Linked DNA regions of Saccharomyces cerevisiae S288C. Changing the gene in region 2 together with the main gene of any one other region gives a genetic interaction. Each region holds a gene or a part of one and is shown on either strand. Other genes may lie near its edges. The genes, in order: WHI5, MSC7, RHO2 and PHO86.

Region 1 (3,927 bases), on a different chromosome or scaffold from region 2:
ATTGCTGATCAGGAAAGGCGCAAAAGTCTGCATGTTCATGTAGCAGAGGAGATTTTGAGCCTGCTCCATCTTCGTGCGAACGGGTCCACCATCTTCATCGTCTCCAGAGGCTTTTGTCCTCTCAAAATCGATGATGTTTTGCAGGATTTGGCTGTGCGCATTGGTAAAAAAGGAACCGTTCCTCATATATTTTACATATTCGGACTCGTTAGCGAAATGGTCGCACGTCTTTAAACGTAGGGAGTTATAAAGATTTTCTGGGATCTGCGGAGAATCGGGCGGAAGCCCTGGCCTCCCGGCGCCGATGGCTTTCCGTGTGATTACTACAGGCTCGATCAAGATGAGCAAATGAAACAGATTGGGCTGCAGGACGTCACACGCAAGAGCCTGGAACCCGCCCATCGAGTGGCCGATGACTACGTTTAGTGCCGGGTGGCTGTCAATACTGCCCAACTCGCATGTGGCAATCTTGAGCACGTCGCGGGCCCCGTCGATCCAGTTGAAATTGGTGCCGAGTCTGCCGCGGTTGCGTACCGCAGAATCACCGTGGTTAACCTGGTCGATCAACAAAACCTTGTCGATGGCATAATTGCCCTCCGCATCGGCGGCTACCAGACGCGGCAAATAGTACTCCCATACCACCTTACTCATGCCGCTGCCGTGCAAAAACACAAGGTTAAGCCTAGTGGCAGTGCGAGAGCGGCGTTGCCGCTCTGCGCTAGTGTACACATCGTATGTGAGCTCGAGGCGATCTGTCGCACACAGCGTCGACTGCGGTGCGCGCGGCCAGCTAGCGCTACAAGTTTTCGTTTCTTTCTTGAACCTGTTCTGTTCCATTTTAGCCGCGGATGTTGATCGGCGGATACGCAGAGATAAGCAGAGTACGCACTAGTGAGCTTTTTTAGCACGCACATTACGCACTTTATATATATGCTAAAGGGTGCAGCAGCGGGCGCGGCTGCACTAACTCCGAGATTGCGGAGAAAAAACTCGTACTACCACATTAAGACGTCTCCACTTCGGTATCCGACTCGGGCTCCGTTTCGTCCGTGGGTTCTCCAGCAGATGTCGCCGGCACGGGTCGGTGTTGTTGCTTCTTGGTAGGCGACGACAATAGCATCAGTGTTTCGACAGCCGTGGCCTCCTCCCGTGGTGGGTGGCCTCCGAGCGCCTGAAGAAACGCTGTATGCGCGGAAGTACCCGCGTCTGCACTATCTGGAAATCTGTTGTGATAGCGACGTGGCGGCGTCTGCACTGCTGGAGCAAGCTCCGTCTCCAGCTCGGGAAGTGTCTTGTCCGTCCATCCATTTTGCAGCTTGACTAACGCGTAATTGAGCCTGGTGCGCAAAGTATGTGATATTTCGCGGATGGGCCGCTCGCCCGTAGACCGACGCGCAGCCGTCGGAGGTGACCTCAAACGCGGCGACGGCGACAGAAACACCTCCGACCGTCTTGACTTGGGCGTTGTCGGTGGCAACAAAGGCATACTAACGTGTCCGTCGTACTTCTTTTGATTTTCATTTTCTTCTTCATTTTCGTCGTCCTCACTCTCACTTTCGTGTCCGTCGTCGTTATGGTCATATACACGTCCATGTGCGGTTATGCCGACACGACGCTTATTGACGGGCGACATGAATATACCCTGAAGACTCGTTGTCGACGGCCTTCTTCTCGATTTAGTGATGCTTTTCGTTATGCCTGGTGGTGACGGCGGCGATGGTGTTCCAAAGCCATTTTTGAGACGTACTGGCGTGCTCAATAGAGTGGTTGGCCCAGGTCGCTGCTGATGCTCGTTGTTTACATGTGTATCTGGGTTCTGTACCTGCTCTTGTTCTTGTTCTTGTTCTTGTTCATCGCTAGTCCTGCTTCTCTTCGGCGTTCTCAAACTCATATTCTTCAATGTCTCTACTATTTTTCGTTGCTATTAATATCTGGTTGTGCTTTCTTCCATCAGGTTCTTTGCCTTGTTTTGCCTTTGTTTTGTTTTGTTTTGTTTTGTTTTTTTTATTTTTTTCGTTCTGCTCTTGAAGTTTTCGCTTCCCTTTTCCCCCTTCCCTTTAGCACCAGAAGTCATGAAACAATTAGTAAATCAAGAATTATCATTAAGGCAGCGCGAGGAATTATATAAAACAAAAAAAAATAAAAAAATAAAAAAAAAAAAAAATAAAATTCGAAAACAATAGGAGACAAAAGACATCATAAACAGCACAAGGAAGACGGTTCTGTTTCGTTGCTATGTCTAATACCTTGCCAGTAACAGAATTTCTTTTATCCAAATACTACGAACTTTCCAACACTCCTGCCACAGACTCATCATCGCTCTTCAAATGGTTATACCACAAGACTCTCTCCCGTAAACAGCTGCTCATATCCGATTTGTCTTCCCAGAAAAAACACGCCATCTCCTACGATCAATGGAATGACATAGCGTCGCGATTAGACGACTTAACGGGACTTTCCGAATGGAAAACAATCGACGAGTCCTCGTTGTATAACTATAAGCTGCTGCAAGACTTGACCATCCGTATGCGCCATTTGAGAACCACTCACGACTACCACCGCCTGCTTTATCTGATTAGAACTAAGTGGGTCCGTAATCTTGGCAACATGAATAACGTTAATCTTTACAGGCACTCGCATACCGGCACAAAACAAATTATACATGACTACCTAGAAGAGTCTCAAGCAGTGCTCACCGCGCTGATCCATCAGTCAAATATGAACGATCACTATCTCCTCGGTATTTTGCAACAGACGAGAAGAAACATAGGGCGCACGGCTCTCGTGCTTAGCGGTGGGAGCACTTTCGGCCTTTTCCACATTGGTGTTCTTGCCGCCCTTTTTGAATCGGACCTGATGCCTAAGGTGATCAGCGGTAGCAGTGCTGGCGCCATTGTTGCCAGCATATTTTGCGTCCACACGACCCAGGAAATTCCCTCCTTGTTGACCAATGTACTTAATATGGAGTTTAACATCTTCAATGACGACAATTCCAAATCTCCCAACGAAAACTTACTAATCAAGATATCGAGGTTCTGCCAAAACGGTACCTGGTTCAATAATCAACCTTTGATTAACACAATGCTTTCGTTTTTAGGAAACTTGACCTTTAGGGAAGCCTACAACAAGACTGGAAAAATCCTGAATATCACAGTCTCGCCTGCTTCCATATACGAACAGCCGAAACTACTAAACAATTTAACCGCTCCAAACGTTCTCATCTGGTCTGCCGTATGCGCATCTTGTTCTCTACCTGGAGTTTTCCCCTCCACGCCGCTATTCGAGAAAGATCCTCACACTGGAAAGATTAAAGAGTGGGGGGCAACAAATTTACATTTATCAAACATGAAATTCATGGACGGATCTGTAGATAATGACATGCCCATTTCTCGTCTTTCTGAAATGTTCAATGTCGACCACATTATCGCCTGCCAGGTAAATATACATGTCTTTCCCCTGTTAAAGTTTTCAAACACTTGCGTTGGGGGTGAAATTGAAAAGGAAATTACCGCCCGTTTCAGAAACCAAGTAACAAAGATCTTCAAATTTTTTTCCGACGAAACTATTCATTTTTTAGACATCCTAAAGGAGCTTGAGTTCCATCCCTATTTGATGACCAAATTGAAACACCTTTTTTTACAACAATACTCTGGCAATGTCACAATTTTACCCGATCTATCAATGGTTGGTCAATTCCACGAAGTATTGAAGAACCCATCTCAACTTTTCCTATTGCACCAAACTACTTTAGGTGCAAGAGCTACTTGGCCGAAAATTTCCATGATTCAAAATAACTGTGGCCAAGAATTCGCCTTGGATAAGGCCATCACATTCCTAAAGGAGAAAATAATAATCTCTTCGTCAATAAAAAACCCTTTACAATTCTACCAACCTCGATTCAGTGAGCAAATCAAATCTCTTTCCATA
Region 2 (5,261 bases):
TTAGCGCAGGAAATTTCTACATAAATGATAAGTGTACTGGTGCCGTTGTTTCTCAGCAATGGTTTGGTGGCGCAAGAATGAGTGGTACCGACGATAAGGCTGGTGGTCCAAACATTTTAAGCAGATTTGTCAGTATTAGAAACACAAAGGAGAACTTCTACGAGTTGACTGATTTCAAATATCCATCGAATTATGAATAAAAAAATTTTTGTGGAATAGAACCGCGAATGCAGTCACTTCATCCATCAACTCATGTAAATGTTAGATTATCGAAAAAAGGGTTTTGATTACTTCATTAGGTTTTTTTAGTTTTACAATTTTAATTTATCTAGGTAAATAGTTTAAAAATATTCATTGAACCAACCGTCCAAATTCCCGTTCTATATTCTGTCATGACTTACTTATTCACGTTGCTATTTATTCGCCGCATATTCATTCTGTTTTTGGCATAAGGACCCGTCCGGAAACAGAACATCAATTTATTAAATACGTCCATTCGTAAGCTTAAAGATGGAAACTTTGGCGAGCAGTCCCTGACAAGAAAAATAACAGCAAGAAATAATGATTTTAACCACAGCTAGATTAAATTGTAGACCAGTCACCGTTCCTCGTCTATTTAATCGTTCTTTTAGTCAATCTTTCATAATTTTGAAGAAAAAAAGTTCTACCCCTACTGAGAAAGTCGAAGAAGATGAAATTGACGTGAATGAACTGCTGAAAAAGGCAGAAACTCAATTCAAAAAAACTTTAGAAATTCAAAAACAGAAAATGAATGAGATAAAACAGGGAAATTTTAATCCTAAGGTATTCAATAGTTTAGTGTTCAAAAATAACAGAAAGTTTACAGATATTGCTACCACATCCTTGAAAGGTAAAAATGCACTTTTAATAACAGTTTTCGACCCCAAAGATGTGAAAACTGTGATCAGTGGGGTGCTTGCTGCGAACCTGAATTTAACTCCTGAAAGGGTCCCAAATAACGATTTGCAATTGAAAGTTTCGTTACCACCACCAACTACAGAATCCCGGTTAAAAGTAGCTAAAGACTTAAAGAGAGTATTTGAAGAATATAAGCAGTCATCGCTAAAAGACTCATTAGGAACTATCAGAGGCAGTATTCTAAAGGAATTCAAAAGTTTCAAAAAGGATGATGCCGTTCGAAAAGCTGAGAGGGATTTGGAAAAACTGCATAAGGATTACGTGAACAAGCTTCATGACCAATTCCAGAAAGTTGAAAAAAGCATTGTAAAATGAGGAATTTCGTAACGTGTATAGAATCAAAAAATCATAAATCTTGTACATAAAAAGTTCATTTTATATAATAATAAATACCAAATTATTGATAAGTTTGTTGCTTCCTCTAAAGTAAACTAGCTGGCTTCTTTAGCTAAAGAGAACAGTGACTTTATTCTTTGCCATGTGGAATTTGTATAAGCTCCTACGATGAAACTCTTTACAAAATTCCAAGCCTTAGCATTGTTACGAATAGGGTAGTCTAATGGTTTTGGAATTTGAGTGGAGACAAAAGGCAAAGTATCAAAACAGACACTTTTGGCATTGCACAAACCCAAAAGACCTTCTTCACCACCAAATTTACCGTAACCTGAACCATTGATACCACCAAATGGTAATTGACAAACATAGAATGTAGCAAAATCATTAATGGCTACATTACCAGTTTGTAGGCTATTTGCGACGTAATTGCATTCCTTGATATCCGCACCAAACACAGAACCACCTAGACCAAATGGCGCAGAGTTGGCTAGTTGTACACAATGGTCAGTATTCTTAGCTTTCATCATGACTAAAATTGGGCCAAACACTTCGTTTTGTGCTATTTTCATTTCTGGAGTGACATCCACCAAAAGAGTTGGTTGGAAATAATGACCTTGTGGATACTTTGGATGTTTGAAGCGGGAACCACCTTGAAGTAAACGAGCTCCCTTTGCAACAGCATCTTTAACCAAAGCTTCTAGTTCATCGAATCTGTTGTCAGATATCATTGCCCCCATATCAACATTTTCTAAATGATCAATATCAGACCCTTGGCGTAGTGGATTTGCAGTCATACGGTCATTCAAAATCTTGACTAAATCATCATAATTTTCCTTACTGACAATAACCCTCTCAATACCAATACAATTTTGACCGGATGATTGGAAAGTACCCCTCATGATGATAGAAGATAAAGCATCTAAATTCTTAGCTGAGTCTAGGACAATAAACGCATCCTTACCACCAAGCTCCACAACTACGGGTGTCAATGATTTGGCAGCGCATTTTAGAATATAGTGCGCTACGGGCTGACTGCCAATAAAAGTGATATGTTTGAAACCAGGATGAGAGGTGAAATAATTTGCGGAATCATCATTTTCAGTTGGAGGTAAACAATAGCACAACTGAACCAAATCTGGATCTTCATCACAAGCTTCCAAACATTTGCGGATCAGCTCGACGAAAAATTCCGAAGACCAGACAACTTGTTCTGAACATTTTACTACAATGGCATTCCCTGTGAACAATGCTGCAATAATTGGACCCAATAAGTTATGGAATGGATAGTTCCAGGAAACGATAGAACTGATCACACCCAGTGGTTCATAACGGATTTCTGCACCTTTATACCACTTCATGAAAAAATTAGTGGGGCCCGGACGTCTCGAAGGTTGCAACGCTCTTTGGCCGTGCTTTATAGTCCATTGAATTTTTTCTAAAGTAACCAAGATTTCACCCATCGATGCGTCTAACATTGTCTTTCCTGAATCCCTGCACGCTACTCTCGCAATAAGATCTTGATTATTTAGAATATAATCATGCAAAGAAGCCAAAACTCTCAATCTTCTTGAGAAATCAGAATTGCCCCAAGTAGATTGAGCTTTGCCTGCCTTAGAAACCATTTCATCTATGTCAGCTTCCGTTTTCGATGGAAAAGAACCTAGATATTGACCTGTGGCGGGACAATGACATTGAATAAAGTTTGGTTCTTCAGGATTCCATATGTTAGTGGAAACAGACCTCTTGCCCTTCCAATTATTTTGAGCGGCCTCTGGTGCAGGAAGGGAGAATTTGACTGGCTTATAGGACGAGGAACACTTTGCTGGGGTGGAGATTATCTTGACCAAAACATACAGAGTGAAAATTGAGGCAACTAGCGTTGTAATGCCTATCAGTTTTTGGTTATCTTGAATAATTTGGGGTTGAGAACGCATTATTGCGTTTTGCTTCTCCAACCATAAGTTAAAGTAAGCTTGAACTGTGGAGTTCAAATGGTTAATCATGTCTGAATTCAGATAGACCTTGGACATGATGAATAAACGTTCGATAAAACAGAGGAGAAACTGAACGTGAACTGTGAAAAGAATTCTACTATTCTGCAAATACTATTATAATTATATAGTAATCCCCATCGGCGTTTAGTATTTTTCGTTAATAAAATAAAAATAGAGAGACCATACTTTCTCCTTTACAACCGATATACTAAATAACACATTTTTGATTATACTACTACTCGTTTAGCAGATAGAGAAAAAAAAAAAAAAAAAAAAAAGGCTGAATGGATAAAGCGAGAGTCGTAAAGACCGAATGCAATGTCAGTTTATACATTTTTATTCTATTGGTATTATATTATAAAAAGATATATGATTAGAAAACTAGAATGTAATGCAATATTACAAGGCATTGATATGGACTTCAGCAGAAGGCTTGATGACAGTCTCGATCAAAATTTTGACAACGTCATCCTTTTTCTTCTCTGCAATTTTCTTAATCTCAGCTAATTCACCTTGCACACCAGCCTCTGCTTTCTTTTCCAATTCACCAACACCACCGGCATTCTTTTGTTCAAACTCCTTCAATTCCTTGTCTTTTTGAATTTTGTATGAGTCGATTTCCTTGGCTGCATCAGTCTTGGCTTGCTTCAACTTATCTTGTCTGTACTTTCTAGCCTTTGATACTATTTCGTGGGCTTCCTTTTCAGCTTGTAGTAGGGTGGCAATTCCGTTTTTTTGGGACTAAAGAGAATATTACATAGTTCTGAGCAACAATGAAAAAACCAATACCTTTGTCACGAGGTACCAGTCCAACAAGAGAGCACAGTTTTAAAAAAGTTTTTCATGTTAGTAAGAACGCTTGTTAGAGACAGAAGTGTTGACACGTAATGTAATGGCACATACCATTCTGCTTTGTATACCTTGCACACTTTGGAGATTGCAGGAAAAAAAAAAATGTATTGTTTAAGGTGTGATTGCTTTATCTATCACGCTCCCTTTTAGAGATGAAATTTTTGATACCCAAGGCAGGGTAACAAATTGAAAAAAAAAAAAATTCGCGGTAATAATAGTGGATGTCAAAGTTCATATTCGATGAGATGAGCTGGAATAGGAGTCCAGTTAATAGGGAAGGGTGTGGCAATTTGCAAGTATGGCGGTGTTGTGTGGTGTATGCGGAATAAAAGAGTTCAAATACAAGTGTCCAAGATGTTTGGTGCAAACTTGCTCTTTGGAGTGTTCCAAGAAGCACAAGACAAGGGACAATTGCTCAGGTCAAACACATGATCCTAAGGAGTATATATCGAGTGAGGCGTTGAAACAGGCGGACGACGACAAGCACGAACGAAATGCTTATGTCCAGAGGGACTACAACTATCTGACGCAGTTGAAGCGAATGGTGCATGTACAAAAGATGGATGCTAGAATGAAGAACAAGCGGGTTCTGGGGCCTGTGGGCGGCCACAACTCTAATTTCAAGAAGAGAAGATACGATATAGATGAGGATGATCGTGATAGCACGGAGTGTCAGAGGATAATTAGGAGGGGGGTGAACTGTTTGATGCTACCCAAGGGGATGCAGCGATCATCGCAAAACAGGAGCAAGTGGGACAAAACGATGGACCTATTTGTATGGAGCGTGGAGTGGATTCTATGTCCTATGCAGGAAAAGGGTGAGAAAAAGGAGCTTTTCAAACATGTCAGCCACCGTATCAAAGAGACAGACTTTTTGGTGCAAGGGATGGGCAAGAACGTTTTCCAAAAATGCTGTGAATTCTATCGCTTGGCTGGAACAAGCTCTTGCATAGAGGGCGAAGACGGTTCGGAGACCAAAGAGGAAAGAACACAGATCCTACAGAAGAGTGGGCTCAAATTCTACACGAAAACGTTCCCTTACAACACCACGCATATAATGGATTCAAAAAAACTGGTGGAGTTGGCTATACATGAGAAATGCATCGGAGAATTGTTGAAGAACACCACAGTGATCGAGTT
Region 3 (3,464 bases), on a different chromosome or scaffold from region 2:
AAAGCTTAGCACCATAACCGTTTCTACCACCAGTGACTTTCTTCTCATCATCATCATAATTGGATGATGTCAACAAATGACCAAATATCATTTCAGGAATATAAATATTCTCCTTGTTATGAATCTCTATGGGAATACCTTTTCCATCATTTTTCACTTCTATAGTATGTTCCTCAGCATGTATGTTTACATCGATTCGTTTCATCGATGGATCACGAACTTTATTATCTGCCGCATTGACTAAGATTTCATCAAAGATTTTGAACAACCCTGGTACAATTGTGACATTTTTTTCAATCATGCAATCGGTCTCTTCATCGTATATCCATTGCAGCTGCTCTTGAGTTTCAACAGAACCGATATAAGTGTCTGGTCTTTTTAAGATATGTTCCAGTTGAGAAATTTTCTGATATTTATCAGAGGCGCTTACCGGTTCAGTTGACATGGTTAGCCGTGCTGGTCGTTATAAACTCCTTTAACTGAAACAGAAAGTTAAAATTGTCGTGGTTTGCTCTACGACGTGGTTGGATTATATGAAAGATGATCTCCTCTTTTCTTTTCTTTTTGTCTCCTTCGGCAATTCAATAATATGTTTACATTATACTGAAAAAAAAAAGACGCGTCCTACTGGCGCGTCTTTCACTCATCGCCTCGTAAGGAATTCGAATACAAATAGCGTAAATAAGTAAATAAGTATATAAACGAAAAATAATCAAACTAGGCAGTTCCGTTTAGCTCATCGGCGCAGTACCTTGAGCTATGGTTTGATGTGCCATTTTCTTATATCCGTCGGAAATTTTGCTTCTGGTAAAGGCTCTCGAATAAGAATCTGTAGGACATTAACGAACAAACATATCGAATGGGTTTGTGTTTTATACATGCACTATCGATAAGCCTTTTTAACTTATTCCATTATATCTATGAAATTTGATTAAAATTATAATACGGTATTGTTTTTCCCTCCCTTGCTAAAAAGATAATGTATCATTTCAGTGTAAGTTTTTTTTATAAAATTATGCAACAGTTAGCCCCTGGTTCCTTCTTCATAAGCAAACTGGTTCTTGTAGCTACTTCAAAGACATCATCCACACCCTCACCAGTCAGTGCACTACATTCCATGTATTTCTTGGCCCCAATGGCCCTTGCAACTTGTTTTGCATCTTCAATGGGAACCATTTCATCGGTAGCATTCTCTTTAAAATGGGCTTCTTGCCTCAAATCTTTTTTCAAGCCTACAAGAACGATTGGTGCGTCAGGACAATATCGTAATGCCTCATCCGCCCATTTCGTCCTTGCGTTAATTAGTGATTCAAAATTGTCTACAGCAAACCCAATTAATATTATATCTGCTTTTGAATATGAGAATGGACGTAAACGTTCATATTCCTCTTGTCCCGCTGTATCCCAGAGCGTTAAGGACACTTTTATTCCGTCAACTCTGCAATCAGTGACATAATTCTCGAACACTGTCGGATGATATTGTTCAGGGAATTTTCCTAATGTAAATACATATAGTAAAGAGGTCTTGCCACAAGCACCATCACCAATAATAACAAGTTTCCTTCTAACGGCCTTTTCAGACATAGTACGGGATCAAAAGCACAACCAAAGCAGAACGTTTCAGCAATTGATGTCTGCACACAAATCGTTTACAGCGGTATGCAAGGGCAGTTTAATTAAGACTTAATCTGGGGACTTTTGGTTCAAATTATCAGAATAACTACCTTTGGAGAGTTGCGCTTTGAATAATTGTTGTTGAACAATTGATATATGTTATACCTAAAAAAGAGTGTACCGAAGTCTATTATCATATTCACATTCCTGCGAAAAATGGAAATTAAATGCCGGGTAAGATGTATGGGGTGTCGCAGCCTCACCTCTAAAGCCACGACGGTAAGAAAAACCGACGCGTGGCTCACATCGAGTAGAGAGATGTACGATTGTTTAGTGTCTCTTCTGAAATTTCGTCGAATTATGTATGTATGTAAATATTTTTGGCCCTGCGTACCGGAGCAAATTTAAGACGTTTGCGTAGTTGAAGAGGCAATTGGAAAACTAGCCCTTGTGGAGGTATGAGGCCTTGACGTAAATGGTGTAGCAGTTGGATCGTTCAATCCACTAAAGAGTTGATTCAGCAACCCCTTTGAGTGGCCAGCGGGAGTTTGTCTCGCAAATCGAACGTGGGTAATGGATCCATTGTTATCAGTAAAGAATTCGCAATTGTAGGCTCCTTGCATGCTTATCAATTTGTTGATAAACGTCGAGTAATCCAAGTTAAGTCCTACTAAATTTTGGAATAGTGTCCCGATAGCAATGTAGGGGTTTAAACTATCTTGTGGGGAAATAGCTAAATAAGTATTGTAGATGCTATCCAGAATGTGGCTTTCATCCACTCCACTCGAAATTTGAGGGGATTGAAGGACGTTGCTAGTCAAATATGGTGAATTGTATTGACTGTTACTAGACCAGATATTTGATGCCATGAACGCAGGGCTATCTTGCGCAGTACTAGTTATATTGCGACCGGAAAGCTCGGATTTATTCATCATCGGAGTGGTGCTGCTGTCCCAGATAGAAGTTCGATTTGGAAACGATTCAACGCTTCCTAATGTAGGTGCGAGCAGCATACCGCTTTGTATACTGCTGTTGTTAAAGTTTCCTGCAGTCGACGGTCCCGAAAATGAGCTTTTTTGATCATTCCACACAGAACGCTGTGATGGGGGGAATCCTGATGATGAAAGTGATGTATCTGCGAACCCGGAAGAAGAAAGCATGCTAGTTAAAGTGTTCAACTCGTCGGTAAACGATTTACGGTGAGTACCACCATTAGGTAGTCCAAAAGATGGCATTGTAGCTTGAGGACTAGATTTATGGGCTTGTGATTCCATTTCTGAAGTTTGAATAACCGGTGGTTTACATGTAGGATTTATGGACATTGTATTTGTCAGACCACCCCAAGATGATAAACCAAAGTCATTTGGCAATAGCTTAGTTGGCGATGAATTATTATGCATCAATAGACTTGTATTTTCCAGAGTTTGTGAGTTCATTAAATAGTTGTTTTCAGTCTGTAAAGAAGATTTTGTAGCCAAGTCTAACGCATTCGGAATAGTTGTAGTTCCAAAATGGTTGTTTTGATTACCTGGCTGTGGCAAGTGTGATTGTTCCATAGCAGGCATCTGGTTGTTAGTTGAAGGAAGAAGTAGATCATGAACGTTAAAGCCTGTGGGTGAAACTGGTTTGGATGCAGCCACGCTATTAACCATTTTAAGTATTTCATCGTTGATACTGCAACTATTATCCTCTTGGTAGTTAGTCATGTTGGGATGTGATTGAGATGAAACAGGGTTGCCAACTCCATTCTCAGTAAAAGGTTTGGCGGAAAGTATGTTCGCAGATGTTTGTTCTTCGTTTAATTTCTGTTTTCTTAGCGCATCCTCTGCAATTAATCTTTGTCTCTCTTC
Region 4 (3,902 bases), on a different chromosome or scaffold from region 2:
CCAAGCGATGGTAAATCTGTTGGTGGTCTTTACTGTAAAAATGGTTACTTGTACCGTACCAACACTGATACCAGCGATTTATGTTCTACGGATGAAACATCTGCTAAGGCCATTAACAAAAAGTCTGACTCCATTGCTCTATGTAGGACGGATTACCCAGGATCAGAAAACATGGTGATTCCCACAGTGGTTGATGGTGGAGATTCACAACCAATTTCAGTCGTTGATGAAGACACTTATTATCAATGGCAGGGTAAAAAGACTTCTGCTCAGTACTATATTAACAACGCCGGTGTATCTGCAGAAGATGGGTGCATTTGGGGTACTTCTGGTTCGGATGTCGGCAACTGGGCTCCACTAGTGTTAGGTGCTGGTTCCACTAATGGAGAAACATACTTGTCGTTGATTCCAAACCCCAACAGTAACCAAGCTGCCAACTTTAACGTTAAAATAGTTGCATCCGATGGCGCTAACGTTCAGGGCAGCTGTGCGTATGAAGATGGCTCTTTCACCGGAGATGGTTCCGATGGTTGCACAGTTTCTGTTTTATCTGGATCTGCTGAATTTGTTTTCTATTAAGTCATTCTTCTTTTCGGTAAAAGAATGTCTTGTATTTTGATACCCTCAATTCCCCTTATTATTCTTTTTCTTCCGCTCTCTATTTATTATTATACATTGGGATTCCGTTATATTTTTCTCCTTTCAGTTCATTTTACTTCTTAAAAAGTTTCGTTGATCGCTATTATGCTATGGATTCAAAGATTTTCTTTTCTCTCTCTTCAAGGTGTACTCTGCATTACGGTTTTCTTTAGTTCGTTTATTTTTTTTTTGTTAACAAGGTGTTTGTATACATATATATAAATATATGGAAATATTATAGTGTTTATTTTGTTACTTCCTGCGAGTTGCAACAGAACTAACAAGATGCCATGCTGTTTTTTTTCATTTTTTGGCTATAAAAATAACAGTATCCTAGTCCTTGTGTTCGGCTTTAAAATGGAATTGCAAACCCCATAATTCCTTCTTCACACCGAACAAACCGCCTAGTAGTCGATTTTCAGAGACTCTAATGCTTTGAATATAAGTGAACCCTTTTTTCTTCAAAATTTCCTTAAGCGTGCTATCGAATGAGTAGACATCAATCAAGAGTTTCATGGTCTCCCCGTATTTGCCGCTGCTTCTAATATTTTTGGAGTGTAGCATAGCCCAATCAATCAAATCTTCGATAATGCCACTTTTTACATATACACGACGACAACCCACAGTAGTAACACTCATGACTAAATTTTCATCAGTACTTAATGTCATGTTAGGGGCTAACGAAATCAATGCAATGGGCGTTTCTCTATAAACGATGATATGCGTATTGTTCACCACTGGATCCTTTGTTTCATGTCTTGCCACCAAATCATTCAAATTGATGCCGAAAACTTTCTCACCTTTAGAACCAACAAGTTGGTTGATCTTCGACTTGAAATACGAGTCAGATACACGTGAGAGGAGGGTGAACAAGAAAGATGCACCAATTGCGGTGAACACTAAACCGCTGAGGACGACCTTCTTATTAATACGAGCCAGCTGGTAGAACCATCCAGCAACGGATCCTGTATTCCTTATCGGAAAGACAATTCTTGGCGTCAAGTAAATAAGCAGCCCAATGGTTAGAACAACAAGGATGACGGGATGGAAGAACAAATACTTATTAGCCAATGCCTGTTCTTGTCTGATGAAATCCGCGGACAAATTCAATGCAGCTGTACCATATTCTGGTTTCAAATTAACACTGTAAATAGTAGGAGGAGCATCAATATCAAGTGGTTTGTCTAATGATGCATCTACTTGTGGGACCGATGGGGCATTTTTATCGGACTTTCTACCCTCTTTCTTCTTTCTTTGTTGAACCGCCATTGTGCCACTCTTCCTACTCTTGTACTTTCGCTATGAAAAAATGTGCAACTGGAAGAGTCGTAATCAATCTAGAAAACTTAGTAAAAGTATGTGCTATATATCTATAAACATGAAAAGCTTTATTTGTGTGAGAGAGAAAAAAAGATGTTCTTTGGTCGTTATTCATTATAGTTTCCATAAAGAGCACGTGCGGGCGCGCTGGGTAATGCGGGTGTGAATTTTCAGTTATAGGTCAACTACAACAGCAGGTCGAGAGGGCTTCTTCAGAAAGCGAGAGGTCGTACCAGGGATGATGTTGCGGGAGCTGCTGTTGCTGCTGCTGATAATGCACCAGTGCAGTTGGACTGGGAAGAGCAAGTGGAACAGCCACCATCTGGATTTCCATTATTGGGTACATATTTGAGAGTGGACGCTCGATGCGATGTGGTCTTCGACGCCTCCGCTTCCTCTTGATGGCTACGATCCTCAGACGAGGCCGTTTGCGTCTCTTAACGTGTGTGTGTTGTATAATGGGAGAACAGGGTTGTCTCTCCTCGGTCTTGCGCTTTTTCACTCGCAATACAGCATGCCCAAGAGTGCAGAGCCTATCAATGAGATAATTGATTAGAATAGAATTTATCAGTGGGTCGACAATAATGAACCACTTGACAACGGTCTTGGCCGCACGTAAAACCTGTGTGGTGCGAGAAGCAACGAATCTGTATACAGTTGATACAGAACGTCGGATCAACAAAATGGGGCGTGATGAAGAAAAAAAGTGGCGATCCCGTGGAGGACATTGGTGCATGGATGATTCAATCATACAATTTACGACATTTAACCAAAGTTGCACTCTGATGGGCTCAACGACTGCTACTCGTGCCAATAATGAAACTGAAAAGCATGAAGCCATCACTGTTTTTTTCGTGGTCTTTCTATATATAAACAAAGCCTCTGTAAAGTTTTTTTTTTTCGCATAACAAACGCGCTTATCTGAGACATAACAACAGCCAACGACCGATGCCTGCGTGGAATAAACAATAATACGCTGCAGAGGATAAAAAGAGAGGTATCATGTCTATTTATTCTCTGCTTTTCTAATCAAATGTGTATTGTATGCTGAACCATGCCGGTTGGTTGCTTCTTCCGGTAATTGCATTCAAGTCCTGCAACTTTAAATGTCCTCTTATAAAGCAGGACGTGGCTTCAGAAACAAAAAATGTGTCGCCAAGAGAAAACAAGAACAGCTATCCAAGTCGAGCTGGGAAAGTAATCAGATTTTTGTATATGTATAGGTACTTTCTTGATCCGTAAGCTGGAACTTCTTTCATGATCTCTGTTATAGGAAAGCCAGAATAGAAAGAATCCGCCCGTAAAAAGAAAAATAAAGCAAACTCGATACAATTTCATGCAAGAAGGCCATTTGCTAATTCCAAGAGCGAGGTAAACACACAAGAAAAAATGGTCAAACCAATTATAGCTCCCAGTATCCTTGCTTCTGACTTCGCCAACTTGGGTTGCGAATGTCATAAGGTCATCAACGCCGGCGCAGATTGGTTACATATCGATGTCATGGACGGCCATTTTGTTCCAAACATTACTCTGGGCCAACCAATTGTTACCTCCCTACGTCGTTCTGTGCCACGCCCTGGCGATGCTAGCAACACAGAAAAGAAGCCCACTGCGTTCTTCGATTGTCACATGATGGTTGAAAATCCTGAAAAATGGGTCGACGATTTTGCTAAATGTGGTGCTGACCAATTTACGTTCCACTACGAGGCCACACAAGACCCTTTGCATTTAGTTAAGTTGATTAAGTCTAAGGGCATCAAAGCTGCATGCGCCATCAAACCTGGTACTTCTGTTGACGTTTTATTTGAACTAGCTCCTCATTTGGATATGGCTCTTGTTATGACTGTGGAACCTGGGTTTGGAGGCCAAAAATTCATGGAAGACATGATGCCAAAAGTGGAAACTTTGAGAGCCAAGTTCCCCCATTTGAATATCCAAGTCGA

What was found.
Region 1: mutations in MSC7 (region 2) and WHI5 together harm fitness more than expected from each alone (negative genetic interaction), as found in Saccharomyces cerevisiae (2 studies listed by BioGRID).
Region 3: mutations in MSC7 (region 2) and RHO2 together harm fitness more than expected from each alone (negative genetic interaction), as found in Saccharomyces cerevisiae (2 studies listed by BioGRID).
Region 4: mutations in MSC7 (region 2) and PHO86 together harm fitness more than expected from each alone (negative genetic interaction), as found in Saccharomyces cerevisiae (3 studies listed by BioGRID).

What each region holds. Positions count from the first base shown.
Region 1 is NC_001147.6:477,497-481,423, reverse strand, and holds WHI5 (transcriptional repressor WHI5), read right to left. Parts: upstream 1,892-3,927; coding exon 1,004-1,891; downstream 1-1,003. Other genes in the region: LPX1 (triglyceride lipase), read right to left, coding at 1-837; TGL5 (triacylglycerol lipase), read left to right, coding at 2,236-3,927. UniProt on the Saccharomyces cerevisiae protein: Transcriptional repressor that negatively regulates G1-specific, SBF- and MBF-dependent transcription. Binds via SBF to promoters of G1-specific genes to repress transcription in early G1.
Region 2 is NC_001140.6:183,505-188,765, forward strand, and holds MSC7 (meiotic recombination directing protein), read right to left. Parts: upstream 3,306-5,261; coding exon 1,371-3,305; downstream 1-1,370. Other genes in the region: PUT2 (1-pyrroline-5-carboxylate dehydrogenase), read left to right, coding at 1-200; RRF1 (Rrf1p), read left to right, coding at 562-1,254; VMA10 (H(+)-transporting V1 sector ATPase subunit G), read right to left, coding at 3,669-4,010, 4,173-4,175; BCD1 (Bcd1p), read left to right, coding at 4,420-5,261.
Region 3 is NC_001146.8:454,685-458,148, reverse strand, and holds RHO2 (Rho family GTPase RHO2), read right to left. Parts: upstream 1,585-3,464; coding exon 1,006-1,584; downstream 1-1,005. Other genes in the region: TOP2 (DNA topoisomerase 2), read right to left, coding at 1-445; NST1 (Nst1p), read right to left, coding at 2,019-3,464.
Region 4 is NC_001142.9:190,537-194,438, reverse strand, and holds PHO86 (Pho86p), read right to left. Parts: upstream 1,909-3,902; coding exon 973-1,908; downstream 1-972. Other genes in the region: SUN family protein NCA3, read left to right, coding at 1-579; YJL118W (uncharacterized protein), read right to left, coding at 2,141-2,800; ribulose-phosphate 3-epimerase RPE1, read left to right, coding at 3,349-3,902.